Linked DNA regions of Struthio camelus. The protein of the gene in region 2 purifies or fractionates together with the protein of the main gene of each other region. This does not show direct contact. Links are inferred from orthologs where the notes say so. Each region holds a gene or a part of one and is shown on either strand. Other genes may lie near its edges. The genes, in order: NUSAP1, CCNF and RRM2.

Evidence for each region.
Region 1: the proteins of CCNF (region 2) and NUSAP1 purify together in Homo sapiens (affinity purification with mass spectrometry; 3 studies listed by BioGRID, with this or other methods). This does not show direct contact. The link is inferred for Struthio camelus from reciprocal best matches to the Homo sapiens genes CCNF and NUSAP1.
Region 3: the proteins of CCNF (region 2) and RRM2 purify together in Homo sapiens (affinity purification with western blotting; 5 studies listed by BioGRID and IntAct, with this or other methods). This does not show direct contact. The link is inferred for Struthio camelus from reciprocal best matches to the Homo sapiens genes CCNF and RRM2.

What each region holds. Positions count from the first base shown.
Region 1 is NC_090946.1:41,225,820-41,233,658, reverse strand, and holds the start of NUSAP1 (nucleolar and spindle-associated protein 1), read right to left. Parts: upstream 4,528-7,839; 5' UTR 4,433-4,527; coding exon 4,340-4,432; intron 2,907-4,339; coding exon 2,841-2,906; intron 1,721-2,840; coding exon 1,529-1,720; intron 457-1,528; coding exon 288-456; intron 1-287. Other genes in the region: OIP5 (protein Mis18-beta), read left to right, coding at 4,813-5,095, 5,330-5,396, 5,978-6,100, 6,653-6,734, 7,599-7,757. UniProt on the Homo sapiens protein: Microtubule-associated protein with the capacity to bundle and stabilize microtubules. May associate with chromosomes and promote the organization of mitotic spindle microtubules around them.
Region 2 is NC_090956.1:21,002,301-21,010,139, reverse strand, and holds the start of CCNF (cyclin-F), read right to left. Parts: upstream 5,105-7,839; 5' UTR 5,044-5,104; coding exon 5,031-5,043; intron 1,405-5,030; coding exon 1,250-1,404; intron 810-1,249; coding exon 703-809; intron 1-702. UniProt on the Homo sapiens protein: Substrate recognition component of a SCF (SKP1-CUL1-F-box protein) E3 ubiquitin-protein ligase complex which mediates the ubiquitination and subsequent proteasomal degradation of target proteins.
Region 3 is NC_090944.1:24,608,478-24,616,316, forward strand, and holds the start of RRM2 (ribonucleoside-diphosphate reductase subunit M2), read right to left. Parts: upstream 4,744-7,839; 5' UTR 4,510-4,743; coding exon 4,417-4,509; intron 4,334-4,416; coding exon 4,256-4,333; intron 4,090-4,255; coding exon 3,958-4,089; intron 3,681-3,957; coding exon 3,564-3,680; intron 3,042-3,563; coding exon 2,908-3,041; intron 1,752-2,907; coding exon 1,657-1,751; intron 855-1,656; coding exon 721-854; intron 301-720; coding exon 196-300; intron 62-195; coding exon 1-61. UniProt on the Homo sapiens protein: Provides the precursors necessary for DNA synthesis. Catalyzes the biosynthesis of deoxyribonucleotides from the corresponding ribonucleotides. Inhibits Wnt signaling.

The DNA.
Region 1 (7,839 bases), on a different chromosome or scaffold from region 2:
AACTCCTTCACTAAAACCAATCAACAACAGGACCGCAGTTCTCAAGTCAAATCCAGCAGAACGGCTATACTGCTGACTGTGTGAACTTGCTTTACAATACGATAAGCAAACAAGTACATAAGCCTAAATTACACAGATTCTGTTCAAGTATCCTTACTCAAGTACTGTTGGTCCATCAGATCACCAGACATTCCACAAAAATCTTTGTGGACACAATCAAATGCACTTTTTGATTATTTTAATTAGTACGAATGACTAAACTTACTCTGTTGGAAGTTTTTACTTACATTCCACTCCACTTCTCTTAGTGGAAATCTTCTCTGGTTGCTCTTTCTGCCCCATACCCATCGCTGGATTCTCTATAGCTCTCTTTTTAGTTACTGATTTATCGTTTTGGAATACTTTCTGTCCCTTTTCATGCTGTGGCACTTTGTTTTCTTTCATTTCTGAATGCTCCTGTGGTTTAAACATACTTCGGTTAGGCAGATTTTTTCAACTGGACATAAGGAAAACATTTTCCACAGGACAGACAAGAGATTTTCTGAAATCCAACCTGAATTATAAAGCACTTTAATATTAAATTGATTTTGTTGGCAAAACATAAATTCACTGACCATGTCACTTTTTACTACTGTAGCTGTGGTTACTGTAGGCTTTTGCTTACTCAGACATTTTGAGAAATTTTCACCTAAAAAATGATTTCTCTTATTCTCATTCTTCCACCTTTACACCAGTAAAAGTCTTTCATAAAGTTCTGTCTTAGTTCTCCCTCTACTTGCATGTGATTTTAGAGGGGAGAAGAAAAAAGTTTTATCCCCACCTCACCTTGAAAACCTCCTCTCCCTCAGTCATACAACCAATACATATTAAAAAGAAAAAAGGGGGGGGGGGGGGGGGAGAGAGGAGAAAACAACCAGCCGAACACACCAAGACACTCGCCCCACATACTTTGAAATTGAGAGGAATGGGAAACCTCCAGCCCACCAGAGCAATTAATCTGCCTTGTAGTTAGTCTGTCTCTATGTATAGTTCTTCAGAAAATAATCTAAGAGTTACCTTTTAATAGAAAAAGGAATTCATATGAAAAGGCAATCACAGAGTTTCTGTGAATTTTTACTATACAGGAAAGTGAAAACAGCCTGATTTTAGATAAGTTTCAAAACTTGCCTAACAATCTCGTGAATACTATGATGAACCAATGAAAATAGTCTTATATTCTGATAAAATAATTTGAATGATACAGTCTTTATTTGATCTTTTTCTTCAATAATATTCCCTCCCCCCCAAAAAAATGTACAAAAAGAACAAATTATATGTTCATTTTGGAGTAGTGTATAGTCAAATTGGACAAAAACAGAGCTATAAAGCACAGAAGACCAATAACACTAGTAGGTCTGCATACCAAAAAGTGAATGTTACCTGTTAAACACTGGTAAAATGAATCAACTCCGTTTAACTTATGCTTCACTACATGTGTTTAGCGGAGGGAGGACGGGGCAGACACTCAAACCCAAGAAACGTAAATCACCTCTTTCTCAGCAGAATGCCCTGTATTGTCTTCACTGCTGTTAGTTTCCTCATTGGAATTGTTTTTTTTTCTGGTTGCTTTCTTTTCTTTTCCACGCCTTTTTGTGATAAAACACACTGGATCAGGCATAAGTTCCTCCTGACTGTTCTGTTCATCCAATTCGATGGAAGCAGATGCACTTTCTTCAGAGTCCTATATCAGATAAGTATCATCATATGAAACATATCTGACATATACTACAAAGAGACAGCCTCAGCGTTATTATCGGAAAAGGCGTGGTCTTTAGTAGCACAGCAATGAATGAGTGATATCTAGGTTTCCTTAAATAGCAAGCTGATTATTGGAAGACTGAGACAGAAAACCTACAGTTGTTTCATTATATGCACAATATTCTACAAAGACATTTAAAAAAACCTAATAGTTTATATTGGAAATTTGACTTGCATGATGCTGTGATCTGCCAAGTTTTTACATTCCTATGGAATAACCTTAAAAAAAAAAAGAGAGAGATACAACAACAGCATTCTTCCACACTTATCATACCAGACTGTAATCAGATGTTGGAAAAATATGTAATATATTCAAGTTGTTACTCATGCGTCGAAGCTTGATAAAATTAAAAATAAACTGACAAGGATTACACAAGCTCTCCATATTTTAAAAGAAGCAGATTATAAAGGAAGCATTTAAAATATATGGTGTGTTTTAAATAGATTCTAATTTACTTTTGTCAAAAAATGTATAAACATTCCATACTCAATGAAATACTTACAAAAGGGAAAGCTTTAGGAAAAAAAAAAAAAAATCAAGAAAATAACATATTAAGAGATGATTAAAGGAAAGGTTCTCTTCTCTTATAACATCAGTAAGTAAACTGTAGTAAATGGAGAATGCTTTGAGATGAATACCCAGTCCCTCCCTCATCTAGGCATTTTTATATTTAGTATTGACTAGCACTTGGAGCTAAAGAGGCAAAAATTAAGATTTGGTCAATGGAAATTGAAGTGTTAGCGTTCACAGGGGATAATTTTGTGCTTACACTGAAAAAATACACTGCTGTTTTTGGCATGAGGGGGTGGGGGGAAAAAATAAAAAAAATCAGCCTTCAGTCATACACACAACCACTTTAAAGCTAATATCAACACATCTATTTCAATCAGTATGCAAGTATACTGAACACTGTTTAAAAAAAATATATTTTTTGTTACAGTTTGCACCATGTTAAATGCGACATTCACTACATGCCATACTTTACTAGTTACAAAGTTAGATTTATCTTTCTTAAAGAGAATAGCTAATTTCTCATTATTACCATATTTTCATTTTCTTGTTTTGCTCCATGAAAATGTTGCTTCAGTGCTTTCAACAATTTGTCTGCCTGCAGAGAAATCAAAACATATGAACTAAAGATTATATTAAGTCATCAGACACTTGCACAAACCCTATAAGCACCCTAAAAATCAGTCCAAACTAGCAAAGCACTTGCTGAATCCAATAAAATAGAACTCTTAAAGCATGCTTGAAGCCTCATTAAAGTCAGTCAGATTTGAGAACATACTTAAGGCCCAGGCTAAATATGTAGCATACAAAGAGAGATTTCCCCGACCAGATTTCTTCTGGTCTAGCTATTGTCCAGAAAGGTCGATTGTTCTAGGATAAAAGAAACTATTTCAGCAGCCTAACTGAATGCTAATAACATTGCACCCAACTTCTCTAATAACTTTTTCCCATTTCACACAATACTATATGGAAAGCATTCTCCTCATCCCTTCTGTATATTCACATAGAATAATAATAAAAAAAGACACACCATCGATGTTTTAATCTATGAATAAAAGACTTTAACTGGAAAGGTCAGCATAAAATCAGTTCTGAACTAGAAGTTACACACAAAGTAACAGAGAACCAAAACCCCAAGCAGAAGCCTCAGTCCTGTGAGGACAATTAATCCTTGATCCAAATTACCACATAAGTGGTGCATCTGGGGTTTCCCTCTGTCTGTTTTTAAAGGCTGTACGCCTTCTCGCACTGGTGGTGCGGGTCTGACTTCTGCTGAGGGATTTACCAGCGGTACCTGCCAAGATCAGGCCAGGCTGGGTCACTGTCATATACCCGTAGGGCCCTAGGCAAAACAGATGGGCACATGCTTTAACTCCTTGTTCTTAATTCCTATCGGTAAGTAAAAAATAATCACTCTCGACCCTTCAGGCTCCCCGTGGTTACCACTCTTCCCAGCCCCAGTCGGATGAAACGCCCGCGTCGGCGGGTACGGCCGGCGCGGCGGGGGCAGCGCGGGCACGGCGGGGCTCCACGCGCCAGCGCAGCCCGGACGCGGGGCGGTCGGGGGCCCGGGAAGAAGGGAGCCCCGCCTTCTCAGCTTCGTCTACAGTCTCACGCCCCTAACTGAAGGCGGTAAGGAACGCTTAAGCGTCAAACTATCAAACTGCCGGCTCCACGCCCCAGGCCCGAGCCGCGCCTCTGCCGACACCACCTCCAGACCGCAGGTTTTCTCATCGCAGCGGCCGAAAGCAGAACAACGACCGCGGGGCCGCCGGGGGCACTCGACCCCCACGACGCCCGCCCGCCCGCCCACACTCCCGCCGCTCCCGCTCGGCTCCGCCGGGCCCCTCGCTCCCCCCGGCGCCGCCCTAGAGCTCCCGGCCGAGCGCAGGGGCAGCGCCGGAGGCGAGCCGAGCCGAGCCGAGCCGAGCCGAGCCCGCCCGCCAGAGCGGGCAGCCCGGAGCTCCCGCCAGCCCCGCGCCGCGGCGCCGCTCGCTGCATCGCGGCCGGGCAGCCGCCGCGCCGCCTCACCCGGAGGTTGGCCTTCAGGCCGGCGGCCTTCGCTATCCGCTGGAGCTCGATGTACTTCAGCGAGTCCAGCTGCTGCAACGAAGAGAGCGCCATGGCGGCGCGACCACCGCCCGCCGGCAAGCCCCAACCGCCGCCTTTCGAATCTCGCGCTCAACTGACACGGCGCCTTGCCCCGCCCCCGCCGTTCGAACTGGCCCGCCGCGCCCTCCCACTGGCTGATCGGAGCGAAGGGGACGGGCCCGCGGGCAAGGTAACCACCAATAGCGGCCCGGCCACAGGGATCGTGTTTGTTTCAAAGGCGATAGGCGCTCCCGGTAAGGGGAAACCCTGCCCCCGCCTGCCTGATTGCCCAATGGTCTCAGGCGAGGAGGATTGACTTGTCTCTCGCCCAGTGGCAACGCAGAGCTGTGTCCCACGCTCCAATGGGGAGGCCGAGAAGGCGGGTGCCGCTCTCGAACGCAGGGCGGGAGAAGATGGCGGTGAGGCGGCGGCTGCAGGAGCTGTTCCAGGACCCGCAGCTCGGCGGGGTCATCACCGTGGAGCGGCCGCCGCCGCCCCCCCCCGCACCGGCGCGGGTCCAGCCGCCGCCGGCCCAGCCGCCGCCGGCTGCGGGCTCGGCGGAGGCGGCGCGGCGGCGGAGGCTGCGGCCGGAGGAGTGGGCGGTGTTCCAGTGCCGCGGCTGCCGGGCCGTGCTGGGGGACTCGCTGCACCTGTGCGCGCAGGAGGAGCGGCGCCTCGGGCTTCTCGCCTGCTTCAGTCAGTGCTGCCGGGGCCGGGGCTGCGGAGCGAGGGGTGTCCGGGCTGGCGGGACAGGGCCATAAGCTTTTACTAATGCAGGTTTTAATACCGGAGCGGAAACTTCCAGCCCCGCGTTAGAAAGAGGCCCGTTGTGCGCCTCGGCGGGGCTCTGCGTCGCCTGCCGTGCTGGGGGGCGCTGGGGCGACCGGCCGTTGCTCTGGGGTTGTTCACTGGCTCTGCCTTTCTTCGTAGAAGTCACAAATGAGGTTGCTTGGGAAGAGTCGCTAATGATCGGCCTTGAAGGAGCCCTCCTAGGCTGGTAGGTAACGGACGTACCTCTTGCTTTTGACATCAAGTTTTAGTCATCAGATGAAATAGGTGGACCAAAATAGGCCTCCCCAAAGTCAGAGGGAAAGAGTTCCTGCACGTTTTCTAGCTGGGGCACTGAGATGTCTCGTGGAATTGATAAAGTCCTAAGTGATTTTTGGACCTGTACTTCATAACTTTGAACTGAAAATTCTTTTGTATATGTGTAGCTTTAATTCTTATCAAAATCAGAAGAAGTTTTGTCAGCATTTACCCTTGTTAACGGAGAGAGAGGAATGTTTGAGCAATGCAGTAAAAGGTAGCCTATAGCCTTTTACCCTTTTTTTTCCTCCTGCTCCTGCCTTTTAAGCATATATCATCTAAATTAATATATAAATTATATATTTTATTTATATAAAATATAAATTTTATATATACGAGCATATATATAACACATATATAGAAAAGTAATATTATGCACTTTGTTTGCTCTTCTGGTAAAACTAATAACCTGATGTCCTCTGATTAGCAGGCAGTATCTATGGTTTCAGAAGCTTCTGTTTAAACATACTATTTTCCCCTTTCTCCTTTCAGCACTTTCAATGCATTATCCTGTCGTTCATGTGGCTTGATTGTGGGCTTCATTCTGTATTCTACTTTCAGTGATCTGGCTTATCTCCGAGGCTTCTTCTGTTTCTTCAAGGACAGCATCCTCTGGTGAATATGCTGTTTTTTTTAATGGTAAATGACTTCACAGGAGTTTGTAAGTGATTCTGTTTTAATCAGATAGTTAGTTATTAGTATAATTAATCTACAGCTAACAGAAGCTGTTTTACTTTTGAATGCATTGGTGCATGGGTTTTAATATTCTTTCTATTTAAATTGCTCATGTTGGCACAATTCCATTTGATTTGGCTTACATTTTTAAGTATCCTCATGTAATTTCAAGGATTAAATTTAAGTGCTTGCAGTATGAGATCAACTTTACTTCCAGATCCACTTAAGTAACGTATCAAAACGGTTCTGTGCTAGATTGAAGACTTGATTATAGAAACTATAAATTACTTTTAGTTGATGATGAGAGATCTTATGATTTGAAAGTAAAACTATTGTTATGTTTTAAATATTTTCATAATATATTGACTACTTTTGACAGCAGTTATACGATCTCCTTAAAATCATCTTAAATAGTCTGTCTAAACAATTAATACAACCATGTTTTTTAAAACTGTTTTTCTTGTCTTTCCCCTTTCCCTGCTTGTCTTCCAGTTATCTCTTAAAAACTAAAATGATAATAGAAGCCTCTAAGGTAAATTTTCCTGCTTTGAGCCTAAAGGAAGAACTCGGAAAAGTAAGGTTCTACATGACTTTGTATGTAAAATGCAAAAAATGCCAAATTTTTTTTTAGAGATCAGTCCAAAAATATTGTTTTTTTTTTTTTTTGCTTGTTTGTTTTTAAGTGCAGATGATGTAGAAGATATTGGATTGTAATGTAGCTATGATACACGTGCGGAACATACAAAACATTTTCCGTAACAACTTATCTGCAAAACATAAAAAGTTCTAGCTAACTTTCTGACAAGTGTGTTACCCTGTAATGAGTATGTATATTTTTGTGGTACCTGAATGTCATCAAGAGAGAAGAAGGGATTTTTCTGCCTCTTGAAAAGAGAAACCCAGAGAAATCTATACTTCATTTTTATGTGTTTGTCATCTGTTTCCTCACTCCCTTCTTTATGCTCCCTTCAAAGCACATACGCTATCCTGAGTGAAACGTAACATAACAGATGAGTATATTTAGGTGTACCCCTAAGCAAAGATGAAACAGTCTGTCCAGATCTTGTCAAAATAGGTCTCTGGCTTTGTAAAAGTTGTAATGAGTTAACCGGGAAATGTTATGTTGGTCATACTAAGGCTTCAGCAGCTCTGGCTGCTTACTTAAGTGGAAAATTTCCATGCATCCCTGAAAGGGCTTCTGCTGACACACATTCATCTTATATGTGTAACGGAAGCTTCTGATTTGGGTGCTAGTTTTGGCTGTACTAAGCATAGGGTATAGAGATATGTCGTATTAGACACTAGTGATACAACAGAGTCCAGTTTCATTTTCCATCTTGAAAGTCAGCTGCTTTTTAACTACTTAAAGTGGGGTACACATCTTGCAAGGACCTGATGTTAGGACAATGGTATTTTTTTTTATTTATCTTTTTTCTAGCTAAAAGAAAAACTTGTGGTGGTCCACATGCGCCTAGAATTGCTGATGAAGAAGCTAGAGGAATTGAACCAACAGAATAACGTGGCAGAAAAGCAGAGCACTGCATCAGATGCAGCTGGTCTCATGCCAGGATATGCAGTAGTCAAGATGAACAAATAATATGCCTTTTTAAAAGAACTACTGGAGTCGTTTCTACATCTCTGCGGGGTTTGTTCATTATGATGAAACAATGCACAAAAAA
Region 2 (7,839 bases):
TCCCCAATGCCAGAATGTGATAACATATTTTGGTATTTGCACTCTCAAGCCAATTATCAGATAGTCTTTAGAAAGAACTTTAAACATGCATCAGAGCAGAGGCAACAATAAGAAGTGACAAAATTAGCATGACATTAAAAGTGACCAATACCCTTCAAATCAGAGGGATAAACAGACACTCTCCTCCCCTTTTAAGCAGATTTATAATTATCTATTCAAACTCCAATCTTGTTTTAATACCAATATTTACCTATTTTTCATTAGGTAAAAACACTTCCTCACAAGTAGTCACTAAATGAATTGAGATCTAGAAATATGGTTGTATTCTAGATCCTCTGATTTGACTTGCACATTCATATGGAAACCAGCTCAAAGAGCATCAGTAACACAGGTTTTAGTTAACACACTTTGTTCCCCTACAGGATATTACTGCATTTCAAGAGAAATGAATCCTAGGTATATGCAACAGACTGTGCTCCAATTAAAAAGACAACAATTTCCAGTTTCCAGTTAGACAGTTCTAATTTGCATGAGTTTAGACATGAACTCAACAATTCTTCAAGCAAGAGCAAGCAAAAACTTCCACAAGTAAGAAAGGACAGTCAGATCCCTCACTTACAGTAGAAATCGATTCACATTGGATACCTAGTTTGAAACATCCTCCTCTACAATCATGAGCATATCTTGATTCTTAAAGCTTACCTTTCAAACATCTTCAGATTGTTGGGAGAAGGCCATACTTCTTGGAAACTCGCACATGCCCAAACACTAGCATGATTATCCACAAGGTATTTAAGATGTGAGTGCACCTGTGGGGACAGGGGGTGTGTGCATGCAAAAAAGCAATTACAAAAATAAAGGATCAACAGAACAATAGTTCTTCAGCAATCTAATTTTATATAGGTAGCAAATTAATCACAAGTAAATCACAATTATCACCCAGCCATCACTAAGACAAGAGCTGCCAAACTGAATTACGTTTTTCAGTCACAGTTGATCTGGCAGGAGAATTCCCACAGAAAATCTACAGAGAACACTCAAATACTGCTGCTCGTATTTCTCAGTACTTGAGCTTAAGAAGAAAACTGCTATTAGTATGGCAAAAAATCTGAAGGAAAATCAAAGAATATACACAGTAATTAGTTTTACTCTGACAAGAGGAGCCAGCCTTTCCCGTGTCCAGTCCTGGCTCCCGATGGCAGAGGTAAGCCATAGCATGTTACAGAGAGGAAGTGATTAGCAGACTCACAGCTCTGACTGAAAGGATGTCCTCAGCAGGAAGGCCTTTCAGAACATGAAACAGAACATCTTCAGGCAGACTTAACAATGTCAGGACTCGGGGCCGTTTTCTTATCCTTCGCTTTGAAGGGAAAGAAAAACATCTGGAACATCTACAGTGAATTACTAGAAAACAAAAACCGAAACACCTCAGTTAGCCACGAAACAGCAGGAGGAAAAAAACCCACTATATACACATATATAAACATGTAGATGGGCAGTGTTACTGTACCTATTCTCCTGCAGCATAGGACATCACATATGCAGAGACTTTAAAAATAAACACATTTAGCATGAAGTCAATGATTTAGCAGTTTTAGTTATGAAATGAATGATTATTTTAACTGATTAAGCTGAGAGGCTCAGAAGGGCAATTGACTTCAGCAATTCAGCTCAAGTCCTCTCCCATTGAGCAGAATCCCTCCATAATCTAACTCCATCATTTTAATGATTTTAGTTAAACTGTCACTTCATTTACCTCCCCCCACATCCTGATTTTTCCTTCTCAATTGACAGTAGTCTTCAAAACGTGCCCAAAGAGATTAGTAACTTAAGACCTGCTAAACTAGCTCAAGACAAAAGCCTATCTTTCTAAGAGGCCATTTGTCTACCACAGACACTTATGGAAGATGCCAAAGAAGCAGGAAGCCCTTTCTTAAAGTTTCAGCATGTCATAGCATTCAGGCTGAAGCATTACCTACATCTTCTGTTCCTGTTGAGGCAGAGTTTACCCTCAATGCATTAGCCAAGAGTAGAAAACTACCTGACACATGAGACGAAACTGAGAAAAGCACGCCAGTTCCACTTGCTGGAGATATACCCCATGGTAGAAAGCCCAGTTGTTTTCCATCTGCTGAGGATAGCCTCTCAGTGGCAGTCCAAACACTGCACTCTCTCTTGCCTGTGCTCAGGGGCCCCAACACTAACAGTATGTTAGAAATTCAAATCAGTGAAGTTGCCAGGAGGAAAAGAGCATGCTCCTTCACCTCAAGACTGTACCTGGTAGAGAAGGCTCACTCCCACATTATTGGTTGCGTAGGAGGATCCCCCCTCCCCCCCAATGATATTTCATGCTCTGCCTCCTTTCAGAGCTCTGTCAAGCAATCACAGAGATATCAACCTTGCTCATTTCAATGTCAACCTCTTACAAAGGTAGCAGTAATCCACTCAAAATAGAGCTCTCAAGAGCAGCCCATGCAAGCAACAGAGGTCCATTTCTGCGACAGAAGAGGGCAGATACAAGGGCTCAGAAAACAAATTCTGAAGTGAAAGTTTCAGTCCCACAGTGCAAAGGACCATGTTGATGCCTTTGCTAAGGAAGACTTCTTGCCTGTATTTTTCAAATCTGGCTTCTAAGTCTTATACAAAGAGATTATATTTGGAAAACGTAATTACTGACTTCATTCTAAAAAAAGTCATAAAAGATATAGACTCCATTAGACAGCCCATTACTTTGCCTCATATAGATGCTAACATTTTTACCCTATTTCCACAGGTTAATTTCTAATTTGGAGTCTTGTTGAAGTGAATAAAAACAGAACAGTAGAGTCAAAGTAGCAATATAATTTATATGCCAAACCACAGCCTATTATCTATGAAGTAAAACAATCAGACTTATACAGCCTCTCTAGATTACATGGTCAAACGCATAAGCTGAGAGGATGGCGCAACTGCCAAGTTTTCTTCTCCTCACAATGAAATTAAAAGTTGGAAAAGCCAGAGTTGAAGATAGATAATTTTAATGAGGGAAGTATTTTTCCTCCATGAAGTGTGTGTTCTCCCCGCCCCAGCCTACTCTACTACTTTCAGTGTTTACCAAGACATGGTTATAACCTATCACGTGGAAAGCCTCATGATCTAGTGCAGCTTTCTGGTTCTTTACAGAGAGTTTGGATGAGAGGCTGGAGAAGCAGTAAGTTGCATTTATCTTTGAGAAGAATAGAGCACATCACCTGCTGTAGATGCAACGAATAGGAAAATATATGGACTGTCCAGTTATATCTCTACCTCTGACTGTGCCAGATCCATAGAACTAGGAAGCATCCAGATTTACGGACTGCCTAGCCAATGTAGAGCTTATAGAGGATTCGTTCAAAAGCACAGTTACTGCATCAGCTTCAATTACTTTATACAGTTTTTTCAGTTTGCAAAGTAAGTTTTATCTGGCTTTTCAGCAGGATTCTTAGGAGTAGCTTGCAGATTCCCAAGGAGTTGGGAACAGGTTGCCCAGAGAGGTGGTGGAGTCTCCTTCGCTGGAGATATTCAAAACCCGTCTGGATGTGATCCTGGGCAATATGCTCTAGGTGACCCTGCTTGAACAGGGAGGTTGGACTAGATGATCTCCAGAGGTCCCTTCCAACCTAAACGATTCTGTGATTCTGTGAGTTCATAAACAACAGCTAGAAAGCCACTGTGCTGAAACACCCTTTTGTACTCATCTTGCTATGCACACTGTTAAATCCCTTAGCATTTTGGGTTTAGTGGAATAAATCAAACTGATACACTATAGCATCTGCTCTCCCAGTATAGCACGTATCTTCCTGTTACCTGCCTTTGAATAACAGGCTATTGCCATGAAAATAAAAACCTTTGACACGTGCAAGGAAGAATACTGCTCTCCTTCGCAACCCCCTTCCCTTTCTGGAGCCGATTTCAGCAGAATTATTGCAATGAAAAAGAGAAGGACATCTATACTGGTATGCCAATTACACCTGCATGAACATGGAATGACTCAGGAGCATGGGGTTCTCAGGCAAGCTAGGAAACAGAAGTTTGTTTCAAAAGTTAGGAAGCCATACAGGGAAATCTGTTTGTTACTTCACAGAATCACAGAACCGCTGAGGTTGGCAGGGCCCTTTGGAGATCCTCTAGTCCCACCCCGCAGCTCAGAGCAGGTCAGTTATGCAGGCTGCTTAAGGCCACGTCCAGTCACATTTTGATTATCTCCAAGGATGGAGACTCCACAACCTCTCTGGGCAACCTGTTCCAATGTTCGATCACCCTCAGAGTAAAAAAGGCTTCTTTTCACATTTAAATAAAATCTCCTGTATCGCAGTTTGTGCCCAACAACTTCATAGCTGTCCAGTATGTTATTCTGTACGCAGCCTACATTTCTTTACAGCTGGCTTCAAAATGAGAAGCAAAAGAGCAATGAAACACACCCAGGAGTTATAGACTATTTGCAGAGACTGCAGCAAAAAAGACTAGAAAGCACAAACTCAGGTAAGATCCTAGAACATCCATGTCCCAGTAACACAGAAAGCCGCACTTCAAGAGTCATTTCTGTTAAAATAAGTAGGCCTGCAGCGAGAAGCCCTTGGAAGAGCTGGGAGGACTCCAGCCGTAGCCGAGCACGCCCCCAGGGCAGAGCACCGGCCCGGCCCCCCGACACCCGCCCCGGCGGGCAGGCCGCGTCGCCGGCGCCGTTTGAATTTCCGCGCGCGCCGCGGAGGGCGGTTCGCGGCCCTGGGGGCCATCAGCCCGCCGCGGCGCCTCGCAGCCAGCGCGGGCCGGGGCTGCCCGCCGGGCGGGGGAGGCGCCGCGGCGGTGCCCAGGCAGGGCTGCGGGACAGCAACCCGCCTCCCGCCCCGCAGCCCGCTCGCCTCGGCTGCCCCTCTGCGCGTTCAGAGCTCTCCTCAGGAGGGGCCCGGGGCGGCGCGGGGAACAGCCGCCGGCGCCTCTCAGAACTGAGGCGGGAGAAAGCGGCGCCCCCGTTGCCCGGCCCAGAGCCCCGCGGCCCGGTCCGCACTCACCACCCGCCTTCATCTCCGCGCGTCCCCGGGGAACCGAGCGGCACCAACAGCCGCCGCGTCCCAGAGCCGGCTCCGAATGACGCGCGCCGCGCGGGGGCGGGCCCCAAAGCACTGGCGGCGGGCGGGGCTCCGCCCACAGACCCCGCCTCCTCCGGCTCTCGGCCCCGCCCCCTCTCGCCTCAGAGAAGGTCAGCGAAAGCGTGCGCGACGAGCTCCGCCCGGGCCCCGCCCCCCCGAGGCGTCGCCCCGTCCGGACCGGAACTCCTCCCCGCCTGGGATAGGCCCAGAGCTTGTGAGCGACGCCTACCAGCCGCGCGCACTTTTTTTTTAAACCCAGCAGGCGCTGTGATTGGTGGGGAGACTGGTAGGAGGTGGTGCCAATCCCGCCCCATGGGCCGTGATTGGGCGTTGAGGATGCGAATTCGAATTGGGGCAGTTGGCGGTTCGAGCATCTTATGGACAGGGCGACAGGGGCGCATGCTCCCAGGGCAGCCCTGCCCCCCAACTGGGGGACTGTGTGCCCTAACAGCGGGCGCCCGTGACGCGCCCCTCCCCCGCAGAGCTGGGGGTCATGTCGTAGTGTCACCCAAGCACACAGGGGCCATGGAGAGGGGGCCTGCAGCTTGCAGTTAGGGCACAGGGGAGGCCTCAGCCCTTCAGAAGGCTTGAGGGCCATGAGGCCCTCATGCCTACTAGGCCCCTGCTGGCAGCAGCCTTCCTGCCACCCCAGCACCTCTCACCCACAGCTGCTTGTGCTCACACACATGCTTGTCCAGCCAGGGGAGCTACACCACACTAAAAACAGACAAAAAACGCTTCTGGGCTTATTTACACTCATTTAGACTCCCAGAATGTCTGGGGCCTAAGACTATCAGTGCTGGTGCAAGAAAAGCAGAGGGAAGGCATGTCTGCAGGAGGAAGGAGTGGGAGAGACAGGCTTCTGATGCCGTTAACTGCAACAGCATCTCGCACTTTAACTGGATGCAGAACCCTGCCTTGCTCCTGCCTCTCTTGGTGTCCCGGTGTGTTAGAGAGTGAGGTGGAATTTGAAAGACAATTAGGAGTCAAAGTTCAAAACTGAGTCAAGAATTCAGGGGAAAGCCTAGGAACTAAGCAGGCAAAGAACAGAGAGAGAGGTAAAGAGGTGTCTTGAAAAGGCTGGCAGATGAACAAAGCTAACCGAGGGAAGATCAGTTTTACCAGTTATCTCTTTAGCTCAACAAAGCCTTTTGTGGGTCCTTTAGAAAACGATAGCAAGAAGAGGAGCTATCATTTTGTTAGGCATAAAATGACTATATTATGATTTCTGCTTGTGAGGAACTTCCCCACTGCTGTGTACCTTGAATAAGCATCATCAGTCTTAGCACGGTTGAGGTGTCTTCCTGGTAGCATTTCTATGAGTTTTTTTTAAAGGTCATCCCTCGATTTTATGAGTTCATGTATTTCTCAGCTTTAGGACATGAAATTCTGGATACTTTTCTGTGCATGCATAGATGTAAGGGATTCAGATAGCTCTAAAAATATAATTATCTCTCAAAGTAATCTCATTTCATGGCTGGGAAGGTGAGATAGAAAAGTTAGATGACTTGTCTAAGGTCACACTACAACTCTAGCAGTGCTGGAACTAGAAGCCCATTGCGTTAACCCACACTCTTGTGCAATGACCATGAGGGACAGCGGATGTGCCCACACTTTTTGAGAGCATGAACCTGTCTTTGTAATACGCATACCTTTATGTATAGGCTTTCTCCCGCATAGATCCACCTCCGCTTCCATCCACAAACCTGCATAATGTTCCTGGGGCATGCAGCAATTGCTGACATGAAAAAGTAGTATGGGGAACAAAGGGAATTTTTAGCTTCTTTTAACTGAGAAATATTTTGAAGTAAAAAGTTAATCATGCTGTCTCCTTCTCCCCCTCACAGCTGTTTCTGTCAGCTAATAAGTTGAATGAGCAAACAAAGCATGAATAATCACCTCCCCGCAAAGAGGTAAAGTACCACCAGGAGATGCTCTTTGAGTCACAGGTGATCCATAGTTTGCAGAGTTCCCTCAGGTCAGTCACACTCTTTCCAAAAGTTACAATGGGGGAGGGAGGCAGGGCATCGGAAAGGTTATAACAGAAAAACAAGTAGGCATAGGGAGAGATGGGAGTTAGCAATGCTGTAGCAAGAAACAGACTGTGACTCTAGATGGAAGAAGTGTGTGGAGCAGGATAATAGAAGCAGTGCCCAGATTTACTGGTGAGAGTATGCCCAACTTGAATGAGCACGTAAGGCCTGATCCAAAGTCAACTGTAATCCATGAGAAGGAGTCTCTCTGCATTTCGGGGTTTGGAGCAGGTCTACGAAGATGATGAAAGGATAAGAAATATTAGTCAAGGCAATATTCTGTCTTTTCTGTGAAAGTAAAATTTATGATTGGGATTTTCAAAAGCACTAAACTTTGGTCTGAATCAAATGGCAGAATACCCAGATGGTTTTATCACTGACATGAATAAGATCAGAGGCAGAGCAGTATGCGGGTGGCATTCATGTTGCCCAAACATGGCCATCTGACAAATTTTTAGAAACCCTGTGGTATCTACCACATTTGCACAGAGATGGCAAACATGAAACAGAAGTGAGACCTGCACCCTTTCCAAGTGACAGCTGGAAGCCAGGTTGGATTCCTTGTCTTTCACACTTCTGCACCTTCTCAGAAAGGCATTACACAACTAAGAATCTGTCCCTGAACAGGAATAAGGCTGTTAAGGATGTGTTTTAATCACTGTCTCCAATTTCTGAGTGAAATTCTACTTATTTATTAT
Region 3 (7,839 bases), on a different chromosome or scaffold from region 2:
GTTTCATTAAAGTGCAGTTCATACCAATCAGTTTTACAGGCAATGCCTCTGTCAAGAATTCCTGCAGATAACAAACACTTAATGTACAGAAACTGTGGCATTCATTTTGTACTGTCTAGGGTAATTTCACACCCAACAGTTCCCCAGCTTTATGCTTAATTATGAAGCAATTTTAAACAAGGAGCAGGCAATTACCTGTTCTATGAGAACAGCATTCATTATGATTTCCTTAACTCTCTCCTCTGATGGTTTGTGTATCAAGTGCTTGAACATGAGGCAGGCAAAATCACAGTGCAAGCCCTGGAAAGAAGTTTCAGAAAATCATGTCAGGAACACTGATTTTGAAGAGCCACACAAATCAGTGGCTAAAAAAATCCCATATCTATATACCATCTTTGCACTTGCCATGTATTTTTTTAAACAAGCAACTTTCTGCCTAACCAGACAGAGGTATAACCAAGACAATACAAGCTGCACTTCCTACAAATGACACATGCAAGAATTGGTGGGAAACCTTGAACTATTATTGAGGAAATAAAATGGTAAGTATATTCATTCACTGGCATAAGATTCATGATCCCACATGCATTTACACATGTTAGTAAGCTTTACAGACTGTTTATAAACATACTCCTATTTTGAAGTATAGGCTCCATTTGAACATCATTACTTTGAGCTACTGTGGCACAATCATCTTAACTGTTAGAATTTGATCTGTACCTCATCTCTGCTGATGAGTTCATTAGAAAAAGTGAGTCCAGGCATTAATCCTCTTTTCTTCAGCCAAAAAATTGATGCAAATGAGCCAGAAAAGAAGATTCCTTCCACTGCTGCAAAAGCTACTACACGTTCTCCTGTAAGAAAAGACTGATTTCACTAACATGTAGAAAACTTACCAGGATTAAAACTCAAAAGTTGTGAATAGACCAGTGAACTGAGTCTTTCAAGCAGAATGAAAGCACTGCTGCTCAAGTGTGCTATAGTGTGTCCCTGGAAATGGTATAGTAAAGGCTTCTGTCAAAGCAAAATACTTTTTAAACTGCAAAGCAAAGTAAAAACTAATTAGAGGAGGTGGTAGGCAGCTGAAGCCAGCACTCCTTCCCCCAGGTTAAATGTCATACCACCTTTTCCCCCATAGATTACACACTGAACAAAGAACAGTCATCTTCAGTGTCAGATTAAAGTCAGTGACTGCTCATCATTGCTCAAGTGAAGAACTTTGTGCATGAGGAACATTAATAGCAGTGAAATCGCTGCACTCTCTACCATCTCATTTTCACCTTTTAAGCAAGGCATCAAAAATCAGTAAGGCAGATGAGCCATAGCCTCCAACTGAATGTGTCTACCAGAGAGCAGAGACCAGTGCAGTTCATGACACAAGAAACAGTTGCAATTTGATCATACAGAGATTGCCACAGGAGCTACCGTTAGTCAAAATACTAGCAGTTTTAGAGATTTGCATCATCAGTTTATCGGCAAGACAAACAAGATTTTTTCATCTCCAGAATTATACCAGCATTTTCTAGATAGTGCTTACTCATACCCTGACAACAATAATCCCTGTGAACTGTGAGGAAGTCTGGACAAGTTCTGGAAAGCGGTTCTTCCATTCTTTTAGGGAAGAAATTTCACTTTGCTTCTAAAAAACATACTCACCGTATGTTGCTTGCTTGTCCCCAATCCAGCGCATGGCCCAGTCAGCCTTCTTTTTAACACATGGTAGCGTCTCAATAGCATTAAAAAGAAATTCCCTGAGAAGCATATAACTCATTAGGACAAGATTTCAGCAAAGCAACCAGTACAATAAGCCTTCACAGCTGTAGATGGCCTCATTCACTTACAAGGGCTCTGTACCTTCACCTCAGTATTTAAGCTCCCCTCCCATTTTATTTTGTACCAAACCTAGCTGCATTTGTGCTCATCTACCTTTGCATGACCTTCACATTACATCAACAGGAATTCACACAAATTCCCATGACAAAACCAAATGGAGTACTGATTCAAGAAGTATGCTTGAACAAGTCTCAAAACTATAGAGCAGCTGACCTCCACTTTTCCGTGACAAGGCATCTAACTTTTCACATAAGCAATTCTTCCTTAAAAATTTAAAGCAATTAAGCACCCACAAGTAGGAAAGAGTGATGTGGCTAGTCAGCTTTCTGCAAAGTAACAGCAATTAAATAAGTACCTCTACACTGCAGCTAGCATTTCAGTAACACTTTACCCCAGTAGGGTGCTTGCCTCCCATGACATTCCAAAAATAACTCGAAAAAGCCCAAGTTGCTCAAAGCCCTGCACTGAGTTTTAAGAAGATCCCATTATTGAACTGATCCACCTTGTTATGGGAAAGTTACATTTTGGTGATACTTTTAATCACTATTCTTTTTTTCAAGCATGCAGCTTTATCTACATATAGCTGTCAAAAAGGAAGTTTGCCTTTATTATTTTAGAAAGAAGTCAAAAATAGTCAAGTCTCTAACAGCAGCATATGGCGAGTGCATCAGTCATTAACTAGATACAGTGAGTATTAGAGACTATTTTATTTAAAAAGCTGTTATCCTTAGAGAAACTTCCCTACATAGCTACCTACCAACGGAGTGGGTCCTCCGTAGCAGAGCTTACTGTGGTTTAACATACGCCCTTATTTGACCATGTTACCTGTTAGATGTTTAGTCTCATTCCATTATTTCAATGTTAAGTATCTGTTTTTACTCTGAACCTAGATGAAGTCTTGCTCATACATTTAGGAGCAGAAAGATATTTAAAAGTCCATCTTAAGCAGCATTTCAGTGATATTTTAATCTAATTCAAATCCTAAAGTTAGACTAAAGTCACAAACACGAATGATGCACATCATGTAAACCTCAGTTATCAGTTTTGAACCTTTCATTATCAAGCAATACTAACCTCTCTTTTGAATCTTTAATGTATGTGTCAATAAGAAGACTGTACATTTCCGAATGTATATTTTCCATGGCAATCTGGAAGCCATAGAAACAACGGGCTTCTGTGATCTGTACTTCTTGACTGAACCGCTCCACCTAGAGGAAAAAAACTTCATTATCAATGGTTCTGCAAACACTAACTTGTATATTAAAGGTATTGATGCTTTCTATGAGGAGCTACATTTGCTTAGCCTATAACATTATCTTCAAACTAAATCCACATGTTTAGATTCTAAACAGAAACGTTAAGAGCACCAGCATCTTAAGTAGACTTGCAGCTGTAAAGTTGTTCTTTGGTCCCCAAAGGAAGAGAAGAACATCTTAAATTGGCTTTGCCTCCCTTAAGGGAACACTGACAGATCTGAAGCAGAGCAAGGGCTCTGAGTAGGCTAGTTGTTACTATAAGGCAGTGCTTTCTGCTCTGTGGGGAAAACGGCCAGCCTCTTGAATTTAAAAAGCATCCCCCCCACTTCACTTAATAACATAAGGCAATATTAAAGTTTTTAAGCACAGGTAAACAAGCTAGATAGGCCAGCAAGTACCTCATTAAATATGTAGTTATTTGGTTACCTTCATTTCATGGAATAGGTTATTTCAGGGCCCTTTCTACACACTCACCAAGTTCTCATTCACAATGCCATCACTGGCAGCAAAGAAGGCAAGGACATGGGAAATGAAGTATTTTTCCTCAGGCTTCAGCGACTCCCAGTGCTGGATATCCTTTGAAAGATCCACCTGAAACACAAGGGAAGCAATGAAACAATAAAGGGCTCCTAAGAGAAACAGACACTTCAGGTAAAGTGTTCGTACCACAGTCCGAGGTGCTACCCTGCAAGCAGGGTGCACTTTCAGCAGCATGTTAGGGAAGTGTTTTGAGATGTTACAATCCCCTTAGGGCTACGGAAAAATCAGGTAACCTTGTCCAGCTTCATTATTAATATTATGGCAGGAGAAGTGCCTTTGAAGCAGGGATGAAGCTCCCAGGGGCTCCCGGCACAGCCCCAGCCCTCACCTCCTCGGCAGTCCAGAAGGAGGCCTCGGCCTTCTTGTACATCTGCCAGATGTCGTGGTACTGGATGGGGAAGATGACAAAGCGGCGGGGGTTGTCCCGCAGCAGCGGCTCCTCCTCGGCGGCCCGCGGCACCTGCGGGCACAGAGCGGCTCGGCCTCAGCCCCGGGCCGCGGCGGGAGGCCAGCGGGGGCGGCGGCGCCGCTCGGCCACGGGGCGCCGAGGCGGCGAGATGCCCGCGGGGAAGGGAGGGAGGGAGGGTCGGTCCCCACGCGCAGCCCGCGCCGGGGCCCGCACTCACCGGCTTCCCCTCGGCCTCCTGGAAGATCTTGCGCGCCGCCTTGCTGGCCAGGACGCGGGTGCTGCTGAGGGCGGGGGGCTGCGGAGAGAGCGGCGGTGAGAGCCGTGCGGCGCTGGGGGTACCGCGGACGGGGGGCGGCAGGAGGGGGGGGGGGAACCCACCGTGTTCTCCTTGTCGCTCAGCGCCAGGTTCTTCAGCGGCGACAGGCGGGGCTGGTCGTGGCGGGCGGAGAGCGGGACGCGGGAGGACAGCATGCTGTCAGCAGCTCACGGCGGGAACGCGGGACGCACCGCCGCCCGGCGCCGCCCCTTTATATCCCCTTCGAACTTGGCGCCAGAACGCCCGGCTGCCCACTCACAGCCCGAGCCGGGCGCGCGGCGCCCCCGCCCCCGCACGCCCATTGGCTGCAGGCGCGGCGCGGGCCCAGCCTCCCATTGTCGCCGTGGCGGGAGAGGAGGACCTGCCCTTCGCCCCGGCGCTCCCGCCGCGGGGAAAAAGGCGGGAGAGCGCGGGAGCCCCGCCCCCGGGCGCCTGCCCCGCCCCCCGCACCTTGGGGGCTGCGCGGGGGGAGGGGCCGGGCCCCGGGGCTGTGAGGAGCCGTTACCCGCCTCGCGGCCGGCGGTGCGGGCTGGTGGCCGCCGCCGCCGCCGCCCCGGGGCCGCCCCGCCCCGTCGCCCTCGGGGGAGAGGCCTGCTGCCGTGCTTCCCTGCGCCCTGGCCTCGACAGGGCCTGGCAGCTGATGAAATTCTCCAGCTGAATTACTGCGCCGGGTTGATGCCGGTGTAGCTTCCCACTTGGGGCTCACAGGGGCACGTCTATAGCAGCGTCGCTTGGCTTCAGAGCCACCTTTATTCTAGATTAATGGTGTCAGTGGGGCACCTCACGCTAATAAAACTGCTGCACATTGCACCAGGGCATGTCTCCGTGTGGATAAACCCTACAGGATCTTCGGTTTTGCTTTCTCCAGGCTTGAGCTAATCTTCTGGAAAGCTGTAAATGCCTCCATTTATCGCCGATGAGCGTTTAGGGGCACAGGATTTAATGTAAAACATAGCAGTTATTTCACAGCTGAATAAAGGGTACATAAAAATATATTTAAAAAAAAAACCCCGCAGCCTTGATCACTTGTGGTATGCATAACCTCTTCTAAAGAGAAGCGTGGCTGTGGATCCTAAATATGGTATCTGGCTTTGAAAGATTTGGGATGTAATAGGGAAGTGAGTAACTTAATTCCAGATTTTGGCTTTAAGGTAGAGCTTTGGAAATGCCATGTTTCCCCCCTCCCTGCCTTGCTCTTCCCCCCTCTCTTCTGATCCCTCCCCCATCCTGATACATTTTCCCTTTCCCTCCACAGGGATGGCTGCATTTGACAGAAATTGTTTTCATGGAGAAGCAGCCTCCATATGCCACCCGGTTTCATATGGTTTAAATAAATAGTACAAGCAGGGAAGAAAATAGCAATGAAAAAGAAAGAAGATTCATCTGCTTTAAAAAGTCAATATTTATTTGACACTAATGAAATCGTTTTTATTTAAGCAGCAGCTGCATTTCCCTCTTCCTCCCTCCCCACACCAGCTCACTCTAACTTGCAGATATTACGAAAGAAAATAGCAGCGGGCCGTGACGTGTCCCCAGGCCAGTCCCAGCCACGACAGGAAAGGTGTGTGTCTTGCTGAAGCTTTGAACGTTGTCAGTGCAGCCTGACTCCACAGAGGGAGGACCTGCAGACGGACCAAAAAGTTTTCTCAGGGACAACAGAAAGAGAAAGTACGTTTTCATAACTCACAAAGAGCAGCAAAAAGCTGCTAACACAGCTTTAGGCTGATTGCTTCCCTTGGAGCCCCAGAGCAAGAGGCCCTCCTCCGGTGGTTCGCACTGCTGGCGTTACAGCAGCACTGCATATGGCTTGTGCCGGGTCTGATTCACTGAAGCATGTCCTCAGTTTTAATGAAACTAGAAGCTTATTGGGACTTTTAGGCTCTTCAGTGGTGTGGGATGCCACTGAAGTCACTGTCACCCAAACAGAAGCCCAGCCTGCTACTGGGACCGGGGGCCATGAGTTATGAGACCCGGTGCTGCCCAGGGCATGGCTAGAAAATAGGCAGGTAAGGCAGGAGGGGAGCAGACGACCAGGCCCCCAGGGAAGCCGATAGAAAGTGGACATTCAGGGACCTGCCCATCGCTGCAGCCCCTTAAACCATCTTTTCGACTATATGACAATACTGTGTACTGCTTTAGTGAGCAGATTTGGACAAAAACCAAGAGTATTCCCTTCTGACATCATCATCTAACACTGCGAGTTCAAGTGTGTTACTCATTTCAAAACTGCGTCAAGATCACTGAATTTGGGTCTGACTCTCCTCAGCGGGAGCATATCAGAAATGGCCAGCGGAATAAGTCCTTCATCAAACTGTGGTATTTGTCCTATGTAGGACGCTGGACTCACTGCAGGCATCCACCCGGGAGATGCTCTGTGGGACCTTCTGGGCTAAATACATATATATATATGTATATAGCAATCCCAGGACAGAAAGCATCACAAAAGCACATCCCCTCAAATAAGCTTCCAATCTAAGATAAAATGCTACAAGCCATGACTGCCATCTGCCACAGACAGAACAGGAAGCCATGAGACCATCACTGCTATCCTAGACACCTGTAGCAACCAGGCATTTGGTGCGCCTCAGATATATATACTCAGATAGAGGTGGATTCTGGCCTAGAGGCCAAGTGAGGGCCAAGGAAAGGCAAAAACAGCAACAATACCTCATGCTTTTTGCTTTTTGGCTTGCTTCCAGTCAGGGACTTCGGGAAATGTTTAAGGCAGTATCTTCAGTTCCTGCCCAGGTAGGTCTGTGTCTGAGGACAGTGGCTCTTGCTCCAGGCCTTGATCCTCACCCTCTCAGAGAAGAGGCCAGGCTTCAGCAGCCAAACCCCACTAAAACATGGACATCGCAGCCCCTCTTAACCCCAGCCATTCCAGAAAACCAGTTACCCTGAATAAGCGCTGAATTTAGCTCCAGTTTATTCTGATGGCACAGACATGGTGCATAGATAGCAGAGGTGTTATTGTCCCATCCAGGCACTGGTTACCCCCAGCAGAGGGGAGGCAGGAGGTAGCCGAGTGGGCTATTTGTTGGCCATCCCAGTGCAAAGCCAGGTACAAAAACCCACCTACCCAAATCCATCAGCCAGTGTAGGAACAGCCTCCTGTTCTGCCGCAGGAAAGCGGGTTTCTGGGGGAAGGAATGCCAGACAGCTCCAAAATGCTTCATAGAGCCCATACGGAGCCCGACTATCTCCTGCCACCTCTGCACTGCACACCACTCCACCCTGCCCTGCCACCATCTGCTGCTGGGGAGGGGTTAGCAGATAGCTACCGCAGCTCTTTCCCTGCCCCTGCCAAATTACTTCATCCACCCTCCCAAATAAAGGGACCCAAAGCTACCAGTCCACAAGCCCCAGGCCACCTATGCAGACTGTCATGATGTAACTCCTGTGCTATCATTGCAACTCCAGCAACTACTCTCAGAAGTCAATGGCACAGGAGCAGAGCCCTACACTGTGAAAGATGGCTCCGCAGG